Arabidopsis thaliana: one gene and its partners. The protein of the gene in region 4 interacts with the protein of the main gene of each other region in a pairwise test. Each region holds a gene or a part of one and is shown on either strand. Other genes may lie near its edges. The genes, in order: PCFS4, AT5G43620, AT1G66500 and CLPS3.

What was found.
Region 1: the proteins of CLPS3 (region 4) and PCFS4 interact in a two-hybrid assay, tested with the Arabidopsis thaliana proteins (3 studies listed by BioGRID).
Region 2: the proteins of CLPS3 (region 4) and AT5G43620 interact in a two-hybrid assay, tested with the Arabidopsis thaliana proteins (one study listed by BioGRID).
Region 3: the proteins of CLPS3 (region 4) and AT1G66500 interact in a two-hybrid assay, tested with the Arabidopsis thaliana proteins (one study listed by BioGRID).

The regions. Positions count from the first base shown.
Region 1 is NC_003075.7:2,469,975-2,476,533, reverse strand, and holds PCFS4 (PCF11P-similar protein 4), read right to left. Parts: upstream 4,669-6,559; 5' UTR 4,452-4,668; coding exon 4,119-4,451; intron 3,957-4,118; coding exon 3,855-3,956; intron 3,766-3,854; coding exon 3,526-3,765; intron 3,070-3,525; coding exon 1,879-3,069; intron 1,798-1,878; coding exon 1,282-1,797; intron 1,162-1,281; coding exon 1,117-1,161; 3' UTR 509-1,116; downstream 1-508.
Region 2 is NC_003076.8:17,520,624-17,524,524, forward strand, and holds AT5G43620 (Pre-mRNA cleavage complex II), read left to right. Parts: upstream 1-1,862; 5' UTR 1,863-2,029; coding exon 2,030-3,262; 3' UTR 3,263-3,380; downstream 3,381-3,901. Other genes in the region: SUC6 (sucrose-proton symporter 6), read left to right, coding at 216-385.
Region 3 is NC_003070.9:24,810,527-24,814,635, forward strand, and holds AT1G66500 (Pre-mRNA cleavage complex II), read right to left. Parts: upstream 2,136-4,109; 5' UTR 1,987-2,135; coding exon 736-1,986; 3' UTR 554-735; downstream 1-553. Other genes in the region: AT1G66490 (F-box and associated interaction domains-containing protein), read right to left, coding at 1-23; AT1G66510 (AAR2 protein family), read left to right, coding at 2,355-2,450, 2,760-2,842, 2,957-3,014, 3,189-3,248, 3,446-3,575, 3,694-3,920, 4,026-4,109.
Region 4 is NC_003074.8:1,269,241-1,274,684, forward strand, and holds CLPS3 (CLP-similar protein 3), read right to left. Parts: upstream 3,765-5,444; 5' UTR 3,565-3,764; exon of another isoform or gene 3,284-3,564; 5' UTR 3,176-3,283; coding exon 2,954-3,175; intron 2,474-2,953; coding exon 2,405-2,473; intron 2,324-2,404; coding exon 2,228-2,323; intron 2,143-2,227; coding exon 1,901-2,142; intron 1,816-1,900; coding exon 1,677-1,815; intron 1,569-1,676; coding exon 1,377-1,568; intron 1,290-1,376; coding exon 1,051-1,289; intron 949-1,050; coding exon 813-948; 3' UTR 521-812; downstream 1-520. Other genes in the region: ANX1 (Malectin/receptor-like protein kinase family protein), read right to left, coding at 4,146-5,444. UniProt on the Arabidopsis thaliana protein: Required for endonucleolytic cleavage during polyadenylation-dependent pre-mRNA 3'-end formation. Functions in gametophyte, embryo and postembryotic development.

The DNA of each region.
Region 1 (6,559 bases), on a different chromosome or scaffold from region 4:
TTAGCTCTCTCTTATCCCATTCAACCAACGGTCCAATTTTCTAACAAAGGCAAAATAAAAGGGCAATGATGTGTGTTCTTAACCTGATCTTTTGTTCTAGCTTAGTTCATATTGCATATTGCAAGCTGTTTTCTTATATTCATACTATAATAGACTATTTTCACAATGTATATAACAAACATGAATTTTACTCCAGCCATTACATCTATTGATCATCACATACTCTTGTTTAGAGACTAACGGTTGAGACAAAGCCAGATTTGAACTGAGTTTGCTCTGCAGTCCTATAAGGTACTACCAGAACTAAATCATAACCTTTAAATCTTTATAATTCCATATTTCAAATGTAACAGTCATGAAAAAACTCTAGTTTGATCGAGCAAAAAGCCAAGTAAGTTCGAAAGCTTTAACTATCGTTCAATCTACTTCGACATAAATCCGGCTCTGTATCATGTAGGTATGAAGATACAAGTAGTGGAAATTTCAAAAGCAAAAGGTTCAGATAGAAGAAAAGTAAAACTTGTTTCATTATAGACAAAGTCAAGAGAACAAATACGCTTAAAGAGAGTTATGTTAACTAACATTTTTAGCTAACAGCCTAACATAGAAAGGTAAAACTCAGACAGGGAAAGCTCTAAAGAAGAAACCTGAAACTGGTTCTCTTAGCAACAGCATCTATGAGATCCATTCATCATAAGAAATCTGTTCACATTCGAATATCAGTCTTCTCGGGCTTTCCCTGCAATATCTAAAGATGAAAAAGAAAAAGACAATCCGAAACAGAGACATTGTATTCCATTTACATGGGGAAACTACTGTTGCGACATCTGATTTTACTACTACAAGCACCCCAGGTTAGGTGTAGCAGAGAATGCAGAACAGTTACACGATATCCATGTCCTAAGGCACAACAGGAATTTAGAGGCATAAAGAATGATAATATATGTGGGTGTAAACCTCTTTTTTTCAATGGTACAGTTTTAGGAGAAAGAAGACTCTCTCCATCATTTCTCTTCATTGGTGGTATTCTGTGACTAAGTGCATATAGATGATGAAGAAATAAGAATGTAACTTAAATGTAGTCAAGAAAAAGACCTAAAATTCGGTCTAAGGGATCTAACTCCGCATCTTTTTCCTCTGACTACCCTCTTCCATATCACCCTGAAAAAGCCATGATCGGGAAATCAAGAGGTCGTCACTGGATAAATGTCTAGCAGCGAAAATGAAAATGGATTCAACTAGACACAAATGAAGCTAATGAAAATGCATGGAATGGCTTACCCCATTGGACTCTGGCCTGCACTTTGCATGCACTATAGGACCTAACTGAGACTTGTCCATATCTGTTGTTGATTCTTCAGGAGCATTCATGTATACCGCACCTTTGTACATCCATTCCTCGGTTTCATCACTATAAAAGTCTTCAAATGGCTCACCACATAATGCACATGAAGTTTGGTCTTCATCTGCAGGAACTGCCATATCTTCGTCATCCTTCTTTTCTGTTGTTGGCTCCGTGGGCAAGAACCCTGGTACTGCTTCAGCTCCAAGTGCTTCTGCACCACTGAGCCACATGCTAGCACTTACAAACCATTTCCGAGAAGGGTTCTGCTTATGGTTCTTGGACATCCTGTTCTTGGTTACATGCCAATCCATGTGCTTACTGTGCTCTTCTTGGCACTTGAAGCGTAGACCACAGGTTGTGCATTGCCTCGGGAGATCCCCATATAAAGCACTGATTGCAGACTCATTACGTATCTTGAGCATGTCTGCATCAAACTCCAACCCCAATGGTCCCTGAATATATAAACCAACAATTCAAGATAAAGCAATAACTAAGAACAAACCGACTCTCAAGGACATGATTTGAATAATTACCTGACCAGCAGGCTGATTGTTCAATGAGATCAAACCTTGAGCCATGAGAGAGCCAATCAGACCAGAGAATGCGCCACCTGGTGGTTGATTAGAGGCTCCTATCTGAGATAAAACTCCTGAAGAAAGAGGATGCATGGCTTCCCCACCTTGGATTGATAAAGATGGTCTAATGGTTGACCCATGTGGAGGGTACCCATGACTTACGTGGGTTAACAACGATTGCATTGGCCTTGGAGCCATAGCAGATGAGGATGGCAAATAATTAACTAGCATCTGATTCTGTTGAGTCATATCATTAAGATGACTCTGAGAGACCTGGTTTTCGGGCCTATATAAAGGCTTACCTTGCAAGCGATTTGACATCGCATTACCGGGATTTGCCAAATGATGCAAATGAGCAGAAGGTACAGGGAGAGAGTTGGGTCCTCTAGCACTCAAATGGGGCCATGTCCCATCAGGAAGAGCCCGGCCAAAACGTGAGTTAACATCTTGAATGCTATCAAATGGAGGAGCCCCGAATTCACTGTTTGATGAAACTAACCCTACAGATGAAGCCAATACTTTCAAGTCTTTTCCTGCTCTTGTATCAACACGGTTGGATGTATGTGGATAATTTTGTGACAAACTCCAATTTTCTCGTAGCTGATGACTTACACCATTCTTAATGTCAGAATCTAAATGAAAATCACTTGTGTTTCCTACTCTGGGTCTTGCCCTTACACTTCCTAATGCTGGTACAGATGATCGCAAAAATTCACCAGCTCTGCTACGATCTAGGGTAGGGCTCATATCTTCCCAATCAAACTCTTCTTCCTCAGTGTTCTGCCATGGTGTAACCATCTTACTGTGCATGCCATTCATATCGCGAATTGGTTTATTGATCGTTACGTGTTTGCTGGTGTCAACTCCATATGCATCTATCAACGCTCTAGGTCTTTCGTGATCATTTCCTTGGCCTAAGTTTTCCTTTCTTCGCCATTCCATATGTTCATCATCTCTGCTAGTAGCTCGACCCATTCCATAGTTAAAAGCTTGATTAGAAGGATTAGCTCCATCATTAGACCTCCTGGTAAAACCATCTGGTGTACTAGACAGTGAAGATGGGCTCTCTAACTGATCTTCGAAATCATTATACCCACCGAGTGAATTTTGGCCATAAACTCTTGCACTGGAATTAATTCCTCTCAAATTCTGCATGTCAAGCAAGAGCAATTAAGGAAATATGCATCTCAGGTATAGTCACTCTTTGAAAAAAAACATATAAAAACAGTTCCAAACGACACATGATGCATAAACAGTGATCTACTGTACTATAACCAAAAAAAAACCCTCTACATGTGCTAACAAGATCATTTCTAATGTACCAGAGTCCCAGTGACCTACTCATCATGTATAACTGAGAGAGGCCATAACAACAACTCCCTTCCAGTCAAGATTGATTACTTGAAGAATGTAAACATCTATCTCGTCTAACTAACAAAACTTTAAAGAAATACAATGGATAAGACCACTATGAGGCCAAACTAATCTAATACCCGTTTTACTTAGTACACTTATATAAAATTAACACACCATAGCTTCAAGGTTGCAGATGCACCTAAAAAAAGAATGTCATCTCTGTTCATAATGACAAAGAGAAAGGCTTACATTTTCGGCGGCTGAGGGCTCCAGCCTGCGAAGATATTTTGGATTAACATGTATACCTCTCGTTGGTTGACTAGGCTCAGAAGCCCCTACGGAAGATTGGTTTGCTGCAGATGAAAGTTGCAATTGCATATCAATCTTGCGTAGTACAGGTGGTGGAAAAACACTCGACCAAGTCCCAAACAGGTGACGCATTGACGGATGTAAACTCGGATGTGCTTGCCTATATGCAAGGCAGAAGACCTAAAGCAGAATAGGATCAAAACAGCTCATGGGTATGCTTCAGCCCTATTCAAATCATTTAAGTAAACATCTTCTTGTAGACTGCTCACCTCGGGTAGACGGGATGAGAAATAGCGACCATAATCCCGCCCAATGTTCTTAACAATGCTGTCTAAAAGATACAGAGATGGCAACTTTTGCTCAACAGGAGCCTGCATATATACACCCACAGGTAACTCAGAAGCAGCCATTTCACTAAACCACAAACCAAACACTAATCTCTGACAATCAAAAACCTAATTTTTTTCCCACTTCTACACTTACATACTATACAATAAGGCTAGAAAGTGGAAACAAATAAGAAGAAAGCAAACCTCAAGGATTCGAGTGCAAATAGCATTAGCGATTCCTTCACCATGTTCCCGTTGTTCACCAGCGATAATAGTGAGATCAGTGATAATAGGCTTAGAATTGAAAGTAAGCTCACCCAAAACAACCTCATAAAGCTGAACAATCTCATCCATACTCGGAGGCAAAACCTCTTCACCACCACCGAACTCATCTTCACGCTGATTAAGCAAAGCTTTAAACCGGTCTAACAACGACGGCGGTGGCGGCGGTTTCTGCGGCAACTCAACGGACATACCTTTGCGGCTGGTGCTATTAATCGAAACAAGTCTTGGATTGAGGATTTTCTCTGAGTCCATCCCCAATTCAATAGTGAAGAGTGATAATTAGTGGCAGCATAAAGGCTCTAGGGTTTCTGTTCCACCATGGAAACTCCTCGAATCGCCACCCTTGTGGGGGAAGAGAGAGATAGAGATCGATAACGGAAGTTTTTTTTTTTTTAGTGAAGAGGATTTTTTTTTCTTCTCAATTTTGTATCTCTACTTTATGCAAATCTCATTTTTGTCCCTTTTTTTTTAGAGTTATCAACTACATCCCAATTATTGTTTTTACCCGTTTTGAGTCACACAGATTTTTGACTTTTACTATGACCTCATCAATTAATCACGTTGCAATTCTCTTCTTTCCCTTATTTGAAAAGTTTGATCTTGCCTCTTGGTGACACTAAATTTAGTTTTGAGGAACTATTTCATTTCTTAGCTTATTTATCTATCTTGATAAAGTTTGAATCTATCTTGTTTTGATTCTACTCATGGACTATGAATGATTTTTTTTTTGGTAGACAATTAGATTTTATATTATTTTTGATTTTTGACAGAAATACAGAGATTAGCAAGAAGCGGATTAAAACAATCTACAAAAATAAATACAACATTACAACTCTAATTCATTCAGTTCGCTTTTATGCGTTCAAGGCTAAGTTACGAGTTGAAACACCGATTTTGAACTCGTGAAACTCGGAAATTTGTGTGGTTGTCACATGACCGAAAAAGTGGAATTCTCATGGTAGTTGCCACGAGCATATCTTCGAGAACTTGATTCAAATTGATACAGTTAAAAACACCACCATCAAACCACGTCCTTGTTACGTTTCTTTAAGTTATATTAAAAAAATGTTGGATTAGTTGTATAAAATCCTATAAGGGTTTGAGTTTATTATTACATAATTATAATTATATAGCTTCCTATTTTATAAGTTTAAATTTAATATTTGTTAGTTCCTTTGTTTTTACATTTTAAAATATAAAGTAATTGCTATTTTCAAAAATGTTAATTAATTAGATGCTAAATATGTTAATTATTGATGTGGCAGCTCCCGATTGGTTGTTTTCAAAAATGTTAATTAATTAGATACTAAATATGTTAATTATTTATGTGGCAACTCCCGATTAGTCGTTCTAAATCCTAGGTTATGAATCCACGCTACGCATGGGTCTATTTGTAAAACTTTTTAATATTTTTTTGTGTGAATAAAATTATTATAGAAATTTTTTAAAAGATATGTTTTTATATGTCTACTTGTTGTTAATATTATAAACTCTTTGAATTTTAAAATTACCATGACAATAGTTACAATTTAAATACAAAACTAAAAATAACTTTAATACAACTTTTAGGTTTACAACATTTATCAAAAGAACATTTTTTTGGCTCATGACTCTCTCTTTAGCTTTAGATATTTAGGATCACGACGTCTTTTTATGTATGAAATAAATTGTTTTATGGAAAATAACTTCGACGACTTTCTCATTTTGAAATCCGTAAATTTACTATTCTTTTTTGTTTATCTTCGCTGCATTAGTTAGTATAGCTCGTCTAAAAATAAGATATTATATAGAAGTATATTCATAAGCTTATCTATACTTTACTTTAACAACTCATATTTTCTCACATTCTTTTCAATATGTATATGAATTTCTGTCTTCACAATTTTTTTACAAAGAGCTATCACTCTCCCTATCTTTTTGCAAGCACTCGTTTTATTTGTTTCATTTTTTCTTACAGTGTCTCTTTCCATCCTCTTATGATTTTGTTTAAGCAATATGTGTCATACCTTCTAAACTTTTCACATGTTCCATATTTTTTCTTCGAAAATCTCTTTCTTCTCTAGTTAGTACTAGGGCGAAACCCGAACCAAATCGCGGGCTTTTTTTATTAAAAAATGTAATTTTGTTAAGTTGTATGTAGGTATTGAATGTTATTTGTCATGATTCATGATATATGTAGAACAAAAGAATTCATTAGAAAGTGATTAAGAGCTCAATGCATTTGTTAATTTTTTAAAGTAAGATCTATATAGCTTTTATAAGTTTTGGAAGCTAATTTTTTTGTATTACGAACATCTTTTTAGAAGAGTCATTAAAAAACAAAAGTGAAAAGAGTTAAAAATCACCAGGTGCTGATTCTG
Region 2 (3,901 bases), on a different chromosome or scaffold from region 4:
TTTTTTATTACGTTTTTATTATTTATAACGTTGTAAATTTATGGTGATATCTGTTATCTACTAACTTAATTAGATTGATTAATTGATATTCTTACGGATTTGGTTTTCGTTAACCATAAGGAATTTGCTATATCAATAGAAAACAGTAATCGTTTTGTGTAACATAAATATTAAAGTGTCAAATTAAGGATGTGTTCTTTTTGTTGTCATCGCAGGACTCTCTCTAGGCGTTTTAAACATGACAATAGTGATACCACAAATGGTTGTATCATTTGGAGTTGGTCCTATTGATGCGTTATTTGGAGGTGGGAATTTACCAGGATTTGTGGTTGGAGCTATTGCAGCGGCAATCAGCAGTGTTGTGGCATTTTCCGTTTTACCATAATTTTTTTTGCGTTTTATTTGGTATATATGGACATGTTTAATATTATTGTAGCACTAGATAAGGACCCATACATGTATACTTGAAATTAATTTAAATTTCTCCTGTTAAATTACTGAAATTAATTTAAAATTTATGGCAGTTCTTACAAATAACACAAAAAATAAGTTAATTCCAAATTTAGCAAATCATCTCCAAAGTTCCAAAGTAACACAAATTAAATACATAAAACTTTTTTTTTTAACTTTATGGATGAATTAGGAAAATGTCGCCTAAAGATAAAAAAACAATTCTCTTGAAAAAAAAATATTCTTATATACCACGGTTTAAAACATTTTGTTCCAAATTGACTCTTAATTCCCACAAATTTTCTTTCTCTGATGGTAGATTATATGAGTCACAAAATTATCATTATTCGGTAGTAACTATTATTTTCTTTGTTTCTTATTAATTAATTTTTTAGAAAAAAAAGTTTGTTTCATGAAGCAATTTTTTAGGTTTTCTATACACTATTTATTAGTTATTATTGATGAATTTTAAACTTCAAGACAAATAATTAAATATCAGTAGTTTAAAATTATATAAAAATGTAAATCACAAAAGTTAATACATTTATAATCAATTTTAACATGTTTTTTTTAATCTATGTATTTTTTTCTAAAAAATGAATAATTAAAACATGACTAAATTTTGGCGACTTTCTATATCGTTTTGGCTAGTTTAATTATTTTATATTTTAATTATTTACAAAGATTGATATTACTGTCTTCTTTTCTTTTCTATTTTTGAACTATATATCACTCGTAAAAACTTCATCTTACACAAAAAAAGAAAAAAAGGTGATACATACGAATCTAAAGACCTGACTGCTTGAGAATACCTCTCTTCCTGGCATCAAAGGGATTGAAAAGAATGAAAATTGCGCTGACCAACGTATAAGCAGGATTGTTAAATTTACTGCACTAGGTTATTAAAAGGCCATACCTCTTCTTCAGATACTTTGTTTAACCACTCGTCTTGCTGATTCCATTTGCGTACAATAACCTTGTTTAGTCAACAAAAGATAGTGAATATATATTCACTTACGGTTTATACAGTTCCATGGTGCTACTAACAGGATATCACAGAGACCAGAGACCAGAACATTACTAAATGACATTTGAGGAATTTGATAAAAGTTCAAATTCGATAAAAGCTTTAAACTTTGAAGAAGTAGTTAACAAACCTGAGTATCGATTCCAACAAGCGTATGCTGAGGAACATCGAGAAAGAGAAGCGTAGCTCCATGCTTTACAAGCTCTAGTGCCTTCTTAGAATCCATAGCTTCCTTCTTCAAAATAGAGCGGAACAACGACTATATTCCAGAAGCCCCATTAAACAGGCCCATTAAAATATTGGGCCTATAAAGCGTGGCCCAAAACATGTGACAACGCGCGATTCACGCGGTTTACTTTATCAACCGACATAATCACATAAACGTTTATTTATAGAGAAACCTATCTTCCTGCCTCTTCAGATTCGTTTTATTTTTCAATCGTTTCAATTTCTAAAATTCTCAACGCGATCACCCCAATCCAAATTTAGGGTTTCTTTTGTCTTTCTGCGATCGATCTCTGGTAACTCATAACTTGTTGTTGAATCGCGAAGATGGCATCAAACGGATCCTTCTCTGCTCAGAGAAACGCAAACGCTGGAACAACGATGAAGAGACGAAACGACAATCGCGGTTACGGTGGCGGAATCGGATGTTATCAAGAGGAGAGGAACCGTTACGCGCCGCCGCAAAAACGTTTCAGATCGCAACTGCAACAGCAATTCCGATCTGGTCATAATCCTCTGTATCATTATGGTAGTAATACTAATAATAACGTGTCTAGGGTTTCTTCTCAGTCATATAACAATTACGGTGTTGATGTGATTGCTTCTAATTCAAGTTTTGCTTTACCTAACAATGATTCTAACACCAACAATTATCAGAAACCCTTTGTTGTTTATGGAAACCCTAATCCCCAAATTGTTCCTCTTCCATTACCTTATCGTAAGCTTGATCCTTTAGATTCGTTGCCTCAATGGGTTCCAAATTCAACTCCGAATTATCCTGTTAGGTCATCGAATTTTGTACCAAACACACCTGATTTTACGAATGTTCAAAATCCGATGAATCATTCGAACATGGTTTCAGTTGTGTCTCAATCGATGCATCAACCAATTGTTTTAAGCAAAGAATTGACTGATTTGCTTAGTCTTCTTAACAATGAGAAAGAGAAGAAAACTTCAGAAGCAAGTAATAATGATTCATTGCCTGTTGGATTAAGCTTTGACAATCCATCATCGCTTAATGTTCGACATGAATCTGTGATTAAGTCTCTGTATTCTGATATGCCGAGGCAATGTACTTCGTGTGGGGTGAGATTCAAATGTCAAGAAGAGCATAGTAAACATATGGATTGGCACGTAAGGAAGAACAGGTCGGTGAAAACCACTACAAGACTTGGTCAGCAACCGAAGAAATCGAGGGGATGGTTAGCGAGTGCATCTTTATGGCTTTGTGCACCAACGGGAGGAGGGACCGTAGAAGTAGCATCTTTTGGAGGAGGAGAAATGCAGAAGAAGAATGAAAAGGATCAAGTACAAAAACAACACATGGTGCCTGCGGATGAAGATCAGAAGAATTGCGCGTTATGCGTAGAGCCGTTTGAAGAGTTCTTTAGCCATGAAGCTGATGACTGGATGTACAAAGATGCAGTCTACTTAACCAAGAATGGTCGTATAGTTCATGTTAAGTGTATGCCTGAACCCCGACCTGCTAAGGATTTGAGAGAGCCGTCGAGGGTAATGTCTGTTACAGTTCCATCGGTTGCGAAAGCTATACTCTGCTGATTGAGATTTTTTATATCTCTGTTTTAGTCATTCGTTTTTTTAAAAGTAAATGTACATTACATTAATCAAGATGTAACACAAATACAGTTCTATCAATTGAATCTCCTATTTTACTCTTATCACCTCTTTACTTTTAATCCGGAGTTATAGAGTCTGTTTTATTGTAATCCAGAATTATAGTATAGATTGTTCCGGATTAACCAGTGAAATCTCACTTGATTCCCGGTTTACATAAACCAGACTCTCTATACCAATAAACCGAAACAAGGAAACCAATTCCTTTGTGTAACTCTCTATATTTATTCTCATTCTAATGAGATAACACATTCACAATCTATAAGTATAATGATGATGTCTGATCTTCCGGTGGCTTTGGTAGAAGAGATACTCTCTAGGGTTCCATTAACATCTCTAAGCGCGGTGCGATCTACTTGTAAAACGTGGAACGCTGTAGGATTAACATCTCTGTAGACTTATATTGGTATATGGTTTATGCGTAAGATTTCTCTTTTAAACCTTTTAAAAGAAGAATCTTTTATTTTGTTAGGTAACCCCTCGTCGGCCCTTTAAGTTTCTTACACCACGTGATCGGTTATCCTATGTATATACTACGTTCGTGAATGACCTATTGGGTATCCA
Region 3 (4,109 bases), on a different chromosome or scaffold from region 4:
GGAAGATCAGAGATTGTCCTCATGTTTATAGATTGTGAATGTGTTATCTCATTAGAATGATAATGTCCATACATATATATAGATACACAAAGGAATTAGGGAAAAAGCTAATTGCACATTCATGGGACGATTAGGTTTCAAGGTTTCCTTATTTCGGTTTAGTGGTATAGAGAGTCTGGTTTATGTAAACAGGTAATCAAGTGTGATTTCCCTGGTTAAACCGAAACACTCTACTTTAAATAGAGTGTTTCATTGTATTTGTCATTTGAGACTTTATGTGAAATAACAGAATTATCATTGTTCTTCGTTTGTTTTTCGATTTCTCATCAACTATTAGGGTTGAAAAAGGATTTTGAAAAGCTTTATAACGTTTATTAGCAAAACAAGTTTGTGAGAATTACTCTGTCTTCTTCTCGAAGTAAGAAACCCTAAGGAGAATCAAAAGAAGACGAGCTTCACGTTTGTCTCTGTTATTAAGTGTAAACTAAAGCATTTCGTTAATCTTTTCTGATTAATATAGTTACAACTTTTTTGATGATTTTTCAACACTAAACGACGATTAAAACAGAGATATAGAAGCATGAATATTCATTAAATGACACATAAGAGTAAAGAGGCGATAAGAGTAAAATAGGAGATTCAATTGATAGAACTGTATTTGTGTTACAACTTGTTCAAGTAAAGTACATTACTTAAAAAAACGAATGACTAAAACAGAGATCTTAAAAATCTCAATCAGCAGGCTATAGCTTTCGCAACCGATGGAACTGTAACAGACATTACCCTCGAAGGCTCTCTCAAATCCTTAGCAGGTCGGGGTTCAGGCATACACTTAACATGAACTATACGACCATTCTTGGTTAAGTAGACTGCATCTTTATACATCCAATCATCATCTTCATGGCTAAAGAACTCTTCAAACGGCTCTACGCATAATGCGCAATTCTTCTGATCTTCATCCGCAGGCACCATGAGTTGTTTTGGTTCTTCGTCCTTTCCTTTCTTCTTCTGCATTTCTCCTCCAAAAGATGCTACTTCTACCGTCTCTCCTCCCGTCGCTGCACAAAGCCATAAAGATGCACTTGCTAACCATCCCCTCGATTTCTTCGGTTGCTGACCCAGTCTTGTAGTGGTTTTCACCGACCTGTTCTTCCTTACATGCCAATCCATGTGTTTACTATGCTCTTCTTGACACTTGAATCTCAACCCACACGATGAACATTGTCTCGGCATATCAGAATACAGAGACTTAATCACAGATTCATGTCGAACATTAAGTGACGATGGATTATCAAAGCTTAATCCAACAGGCAAAGAATCACTATTACTTGCTTCTAAAGTTTTCTTCTCTTTCTCATTGTTAAGAAGACTAAGCAAATCAGTCAATTCTTTGCTCAAAACAATTGGTTGATGCATAGATTGAGACACAACTGAAACCATGTTCGAATGATTCATCGGATTTTGAACATTCGTAAAAACAGGAGTGTTTGGTACAAAATTCGATGACCTAACAGGATAATTCGGAGTTAGGGTTCTTGAATTCGGAACCCAATCAGGTAACGAATCTAAAGAGAGATTGTCATCAAGCTTACGATAAGGTAATGGAAGAGGAACAATTTGGGGATTAGGGTTTCCATAACCAGCAACAAAGGGTTTCTGATAATTGTTGGTGTTAGAATCATTGTTACGTAATGCAAAACTTGAATTAGAAGCAATCACATCAACACCGCAATTGTTATATGATTGAGAAGAAACCCTAGACACGTTATTATTATTACTACCATGATGATGATACAGAGGATTATGACCAGATCGGAATTGCTGTTGCGCTTGTGATCTGAAACGTTTTTGCGGCGGCGCGTAACGGTTCGTCTCCTCTTGATAACCTCCGATTCCGCCACCGTAACCGCGATTGTCGCTTCTTCTCTTCATCGTTGTTCTAGCGTTTGCGTTTCTCTGAGCAGAGAAAGATCCGTTTGATGCCATCTTCACGATTAAACAACAGTTATGAGTTTTCAGAGATCGATCGCAGAAAGAGAAAAGAAACCCTAAATTTGGATTTGGTGATTGCGTTGAGAGAGGAGAATTTTAGAAATTGAAACGATTGAAAAATAAAACGAATCTGAAGAGACGCGAAGATAGGTTTCTCTATAAATAAACGTTTATGTCGGTTGATAAAGTAAACCGCGTGAATCGCGCGTTGTCACGTGTTTTGGGCCACGGTTTATAGGCCCAGTTTGTTAATGGGCCTGTTAAATTGGGCCTTCTGGAATCTACTCGTTGTTCCGCTCTGTATTTTGCTGTTCTTTATTGAATTCGACGCTAAATTAGTGAAGACGAAGAAGAAGGAAGCTATGGATTCTGAGAAGGCACTAGAGCTTGTGAAGCATGGAGCTACACTTCTATTTCTCGATGTTCCTCAATATACACTGGTCGGAATCGATACTCAGGTTTGTCTACTTCTAAGTTTAAAGCTTTTATCGAATTTCAACTTTTCTCAGTTTCAAAGTTTGTTACTTTATTCCAAGTTTAAAGCTTTTTAATGTGGAACTGATTCTCCTTGTATAGTTTCTTTTTGGTTTAGTAAATATCTCGAGAAGAAAGTGTATTTTGAGTTTGAATATGATTAAAATTTGAGGTTTTTGAGCTTTTGAAGATTCTTTATTGGCTATGGATTTTGATTTCTGTATGATTGTGAAACATATTTCTTGAGCATATTCATTGGCCTATAACGACAATGTTTTGTATTGTGGTTACAGATATTCGCAGTTGGACCAGCTTTCAAAGGGATTAAGATGATACCTCCTGGAATTCACTTTGTATTCTATAGTTCATCGACAAGGTTTAAGTCTTTAAATGGTTTTTTAAATTTGTGATGTCGTACTCATTAAAAACCGTACCATGGTTATCGATATGCTTTGGCTGATAATGCAGACTTTCATTTTCTTATCTTCAGGGATGGTAGAGAGTTTTCACCCACCATTGGCTTCTTTGTTGATGTTGCCCCTTCTCAGGTTTGGAATCACAACTTTGAATAGTTTGTGTTTGTAGTTATCTATATAGATCGCTATTACAGAGAAAACATTTAGTAATGTTCTTGTCTCTCTGTGATATCCTGTTAGTAGCACCATGAAACTGTATATATTGTAAGTAGATATATATTTACTATCTTTTGTTGAATATACAAGGTTATTGTACGCAAATGGAATCAGCAAGACGAGTGGTTAACCAAAGTGTCTGAAGAAGAGGTATGTCCTTTTAATAACCTAGTGCAGTAATTTTCTCAATGTTGCGTATATGTTGGTCAGCGATTTGCCTCTTTGTGATATTTGTTCAATGCCTGCTAGATAGGAATATAATCAAATCATGTTGCATGAGCCATTAGTTAGTAGGCTTGAGAATTAGTGCTGGCTTATTTATATTTATTCTGCTCTTTTGTTGCTAGGAAGAGAGATATTCTCAAGCAGTCAGGTCTTTAGAGTTTGACAAAAATCTTGGCCCATACAATTTAAAGCAATATGGGGAGTGGAGGCACTTATCTAACTACATTACAAAGGATGTTGTTGAAAAGTTTGGTATGTGAACCTTATAATTTGGAGGATTCTTTAACCACATTGTTAATGTTTTCCCTCACTCGAGTAGTGAACACTGTAAAGTTTGGCTTGTTCAAAAATTTTATGTTCAATTTTGCAGAGCCAGTTGGAGGAGAAATAACAGTCACATATGAATCTGCTATTCTAAAAGGTGGACCTAAAACGGCAATGGAAATAGCACTTGATACGCAGATGAAAAAAAGCAAGTTTACGACATCATCTACTGAGCAACCTAAAGGGAATAGGTTTTACTACACGTCTATTCCTCGGATTATAAAGCACAAGGGAATGTCTGGACAGGAGCTAACCTCTATGAATCTTGACAAGGTATCTCCTCTTACTTGATCCTTCCTCTTTACATTTTCAGTAGATGTTTGAACTTTGAATCTCAAAATTCATGTGAAGCCATTTCCTCTATTTTTCTTTGTATAGACTCAATTGCTAGAAAGCGTATTGTCAAAAGAGTACAAAGACTCGGAAGACTTGCTACTTGGGGAGCTACAATTTTCATTTGTT
Region 4 (5,444 bases):
GTTCTTGTTGTTAATTATACGATATTTTTATTATTCTTGTTTTATCATATTCACAATGATAAGTGAAACTTTCTTCTTATATCTATAAATCTCTAATCATCAGTCAAATGATTGAAATTTTCTGTATTTAATGTGCAGGGTTAAAAAAAAAAATGAGGCTATTAAAGCATATAGAAGATCTTGTAGCATGTAAATTTAGAATTTTCTAAATATGTTTTGTCTATTGCAAATGAATGACAATTTTAACATTTTGAACTCAAAACATATCCGTTTTAATTATCTTTCAATTGAATTAGCATAAGAATAAAATATTCTTTTCTATTCTAGGAGAATCATATAAGATTAATGCGACTTGGTTAGACAGACCAACTAATATTCTTCGGATCCGATTCTAAATACAGAGCTTATACAACAATACAATTGAAGTGACTTAAAATGTGATAGTAATTTAGTTGAATTAATAACCAATAATAATACATGTGTGACTTTGAACATTATCATATACTATTTCGAAATCATCCAATAACATAAGATATGTTCGACCTATCAAATTTAAAAATGCTACACACATCACTTGAATATGCTGAACCAAACAAACAGAACTAACGCACTAGTAAATCAACATTATTTTTTGCTCACTTCATAACATCAAATTACAACCAACCATCTATTCCGCAATAATGATCTTTTAAACTCAAAAACTTGTGCATTTGATAAAGAAGAAAAAGGCTATTTGTAATTAACGTTACATAATCGAGCTGCTGCATCATTCTCTCAAGCAAAAAACATGGCTCCTCTCTTCTCTAAGTAAGTCATACTGACTCAAGCCATGCCAATGATCCAGCGACCAACAACTTGCTAGGTAATGTCCCAGGCGATGGTGCTAAATACGTTATCTTCTTCTTCTGCACATTAACTTCCGTCACATACACAAACCCAGAAACATTGCTGTATCAAAGAAAAAACAGAGAGAAAGAAATATCAAAATCACGAAGAAAACATACACGAAAGCCTTTGATTCTGGAAACAGCAAGAACTTTTAGAGATTACCTTGAGATGATCTGGTCTGGTTCTTCTGCGTATGAGACAGCAAGAACAGAATGCAGCAGATCCCGATCATCGATATTTACAGGCGTCACCCGCAACGGATTTGAAACCGAGGTAGACCCGGCTGGAAGAGCCGATTTTGGCGCTTGTGGTCCACCACCAATTCGGAACACTTGCAGATCACTGAAACTCGATGTATTGGCATACGGAGAGAGTTCTTTCGATAAACCGTAAAAATATTCCTGGAAAATTCAGTTTTTGAGTTCTGAGTTACACCTCCAAAGGCATGAAAAAAGGGATATTAAAAGATTTGAGATTGAAAATTTTACCTGAATCTTAAAGTTCCTTGATCTTTTACGGACCTCTTTGACCCTGGCTACAACTCCACCAGACTTGTGAAGCTTCACGACGTCGACATTACTCTTACTTCTCAGCACATCTTTAAGCCTGCTGAAGAGTTTTTCCTGACCCAATACAAGTACAACCGAGGCATTGAATGTGTCTATTGCGTGGAGAAGCAGCTGCAAGACGAAGCAGATACAGTTCTTTATCAGGCATTTGCATAATGAAATCCACTAAGAAGGAGCTAACTATACCAAAAAATACGCTAAAAAGGATCTAACTTTTACCTCATAACCAATCCCCTCGATCCATCCCATTGTGTTGATCACCATTCCAGCAGCTCGCGATTCAGGGTTTCCGACAAACTGTTTCTCCAGAACTTGAGCAAGCTCTTTCACCAGAGCTTTGTACAGTTCAACGTTCATACTGAGAGAGCCAAAGTAGACATATTTAAATTCCTCATCGAGGGGAATAACGTATGATGGGTAGGAGAAATTTGAGAATCACTTACTTTGGTGATGCGTGGCCGTAGTAGTAAACAAGGGCCATATCAAGAGGAAACCCTTCAACTGGATCCAGTGGCATTTCAATAGGGGCAGCAGCAATAGATCCTGGTATTGTAATCGAGCCTTGGCCAACATCAAGGTCTACAAATGTAGGTCTCCATCCCTGTTTAGCTGCCCAACTAAGGAGCATCTTTGTCAATGTGCTCTTCCCGGAATCCGTAGGCCCTACTACAATAACCCGAGGTCCCTGCATTAAGTGAATTCTTAAGAACCAAGTGTTTTAACTATGCTGATATTGCAATACAATAATATTGAATATCGAAGAAAAGTACCTGAGAAGATTCTGGGTCATTAGATGTGGAAGCTTTGGCAAAACGTCTCCTTGCATCTAGTATGGCATGCACATTAATGTAGCTGACCATCGGCGTCTGGAAACAGAGATGTAGTTAGTAAACAAAATTTGCTCTACATATTTAAAGCAAGCGTAGGAATGAAACAAGTAATCCAACCTCATCTGCTGTATAGTCAGTTTCCGTGACACCATCCATCTCAATTGTCGCTCCATACCAAGTGAAAACCTGACAATAATCAAAAGGCACAAGATGGTAAGCACGGTGTTTCAGAGCTCCGATTATGAACTTTACATAAATCATTAGCAGAAGGAAAAATAGAAAAGAAAGAAATTGGGGGGGAAAATCACATCTATCATCAATCTTTTTATACAACCCACTTAACAATTCTTACCTAGACAGCATAATCTTCATTTACAACCTAAATCATAAGTCTTTCATCCAACTCAAACCCAAAAACCCTCAAACTTCACTGGCAAAGGATGTACCTTTCCAACCCCAAAAGGCCAGAGGGTGAATTCAATAGTAACTCAAGAACCCACTTTAAGAAAGATAACCACTAAAAGAAACTAAATCAAGAATGGCTAGTTATTTTCTACCAACAAACCCAACACCAAATATGTTACCAACAAGCTACATTTTATCTATAAGCCATAAAGCATAATGCTTACGATCGCTCTAAAAACCAAGGATTAAGAAAACACATACCGCAAATTTCATGCGAGGAGGGAAGGTACGCCATATTTCAGGAGGCAGTTCAGAGCCAAAAATCTCAGCGGTCCCGTTAACCACACGGAGTCTGAGAGGCTCTTCAGAGACTTCGATCCTGAGCTCGCTTTCTCTCTCCAATTTCACTTGCTTCAGATTAGCAGACCCGGGAACAGCTCCACTCAAAGCCGGTGGATTCATGGACGGACCACCGTACGCCATTGCTTTCACTCAGAGTAAGATATAATTGTAGACTATCTATCACTCGGAGTAACAGGAGCTCTCTTTAAGTCATTATACACACTTGCGCTTGTAATCGCTCTTCTTCTTCTTAAAAACAAAAGTATAATCAAGTTAATCTCTGCAAACAGAAAAGAAAAATGCAAACTTTACTAGATTTAAACAGCCAATCTTGACCCCGGAATTATAAAAGCACAACAGAGATCAATTTCAAACAACCAATGTATCAAAATTCATCACTAGAGTAACAATCATATATATATAAGAGAAAGTAATAGAACAGCAACAGAGAAAGAAAAACGAGAGCCATCGATTTCTGTACCCAGAAATCGAAAAAGAGAGAACGAGAGAGCAAAAAGAAGACGAATTACCAAAAAAAGGGTCAATGGAGGGAAGACTGAAGGCGGCGAAAGAATGAACGGCGATTCTACGGCGAGGAGAAACGGACGTCGGAGATTCGCAAACGTGTGTGTGTGTTTGAGGAGAAACAGTGAATTCGACTTACGAAATCAATTTACTTTAGGTTTATATCGCTGTAATTTCCATTTTTTCGATTAAGGCAAAATTGGAAAACGAATTAATCCCGGTTTGAGCCGTTAACCGACCTGAACAACCTTTTCCATTTTTCTACTATACAGTTTTCCGGTTAATATAATAATTTGTTTCTAGCTTAATAAACTCAGTAAAATATAACTTAATACAAAAATTTACCATAGAAAAATTCTAACTACGAATCTTAATACAATGTATTTTTGATTACATGTAACATCACAAAGGGATATAATTTTACAAATGTTTTTATTGAAAAATACCACTCAATATAAATGAAATCATCTTCAAATTTTGTTACCCAGATTCCTTTTCTAATCCTGCAATTAACACAAAAACAAAAACTTTAACACCAAAATTAAGAGAAGAAAAACAAAATTAGTATACGTATTGCGAAATTACCTTATCGTCCTTTGGGATTTACAATCTGAGAGAATATTTCGGTATTGTCCTCTGAGGAGAGATCACTCACATCATCTCTACCGGCGACGTTAACCGCCATGCCTCCTCTACCGAGATCCTCAGAGCTTCCTCCATTATTCGGAGTCCGATGACGAGTCCCGTCAGCAGTCTCTTGAAGCTGAAGTGCGAATTCGAGATTCCACAAAACATCTCCCATTGTCGGCCGTTCTAATCCACTATCGTTAAGACACTTCTCCGCCGTGTCTGCAAATTTCTTCAAACACTCTGCATTGATCTTCCCTTTCAGATTCGGATCGATTATATCCTCTAAATTCCCTTTTCGTTTGCAATTCATTGCCCAGTCTCCGAGACTCACTTGTTCCTTAGGCAAACTCGGGTTTAACGCTGGTCTTGCGCATAAGATTTCGAACAGAACAACTCCGAATGAGTAAACGTCTGATTTCTCAGTCAGTTGTTGTCTTCTGAAGTATTCAGGATCTAAATAACCGAAGCTTCCTTTGACGACGGTTGTTACATGGCCTCCATTCATGTTAGGTCCAGTTTTGGATAACCCAAAGTCTGAAACTTTGGCTACCCAGTTCTCATCTACGAGGATGTTAGTTGTTTTAACGTCTCTGTGTATAATCGTGTACTTTGCTCCTGTGTGAAGGTAATGTAATCCTCTTGCTGCTCCAATAGCTATCTCTAGCCTTCGTTTCCAAGTTAATTGTGGTTTCTTTGTGTTGTATAGATGCTCACGGAGTGTTCCAAATGCCATGTAATCGTATACGAGACACATTTCTCCTCCCTCGTCGCAGTATCCTATCAAGGAGACTAAGTGTTTGTGTCTTAGTCTTGAGAGGAGTTCGATTTCTGTCTCGAATTCGTTGAGTCCTTGTTCTGAATTTGGGTTTGATTTTTTTACCGCTACTTTAGTTGTGCCGTCTATAACTCCTTTGTAGACTTTACCAAACCCTCCAACTCCAATGACGTTGGAATCATCGAAGTTTTGTGTTCCGTGTTTGATTTCTGGTAAAGAGAATCTACGGCATAAACCTGCTGCGAGATTGGATAGGTGACTTCCATTGTTGCTCTTCCCTGAGATGGTTGATTTGGTTCCTGATGTGGTAGAGTTTCCATATATAGGAAGCCAACTTGATGTGTGAGAGTCGCCTCCTTGATATCCTTGTTTCTTCTTGTAGGCCGTGAAACACAAGGCACCGATTAAAACCGCTAAAACTCCTCCGGCCGAACCAATGATGAAAGCGTGTCTCTTTTCGTTCTTGAATTCTTTTTTAAC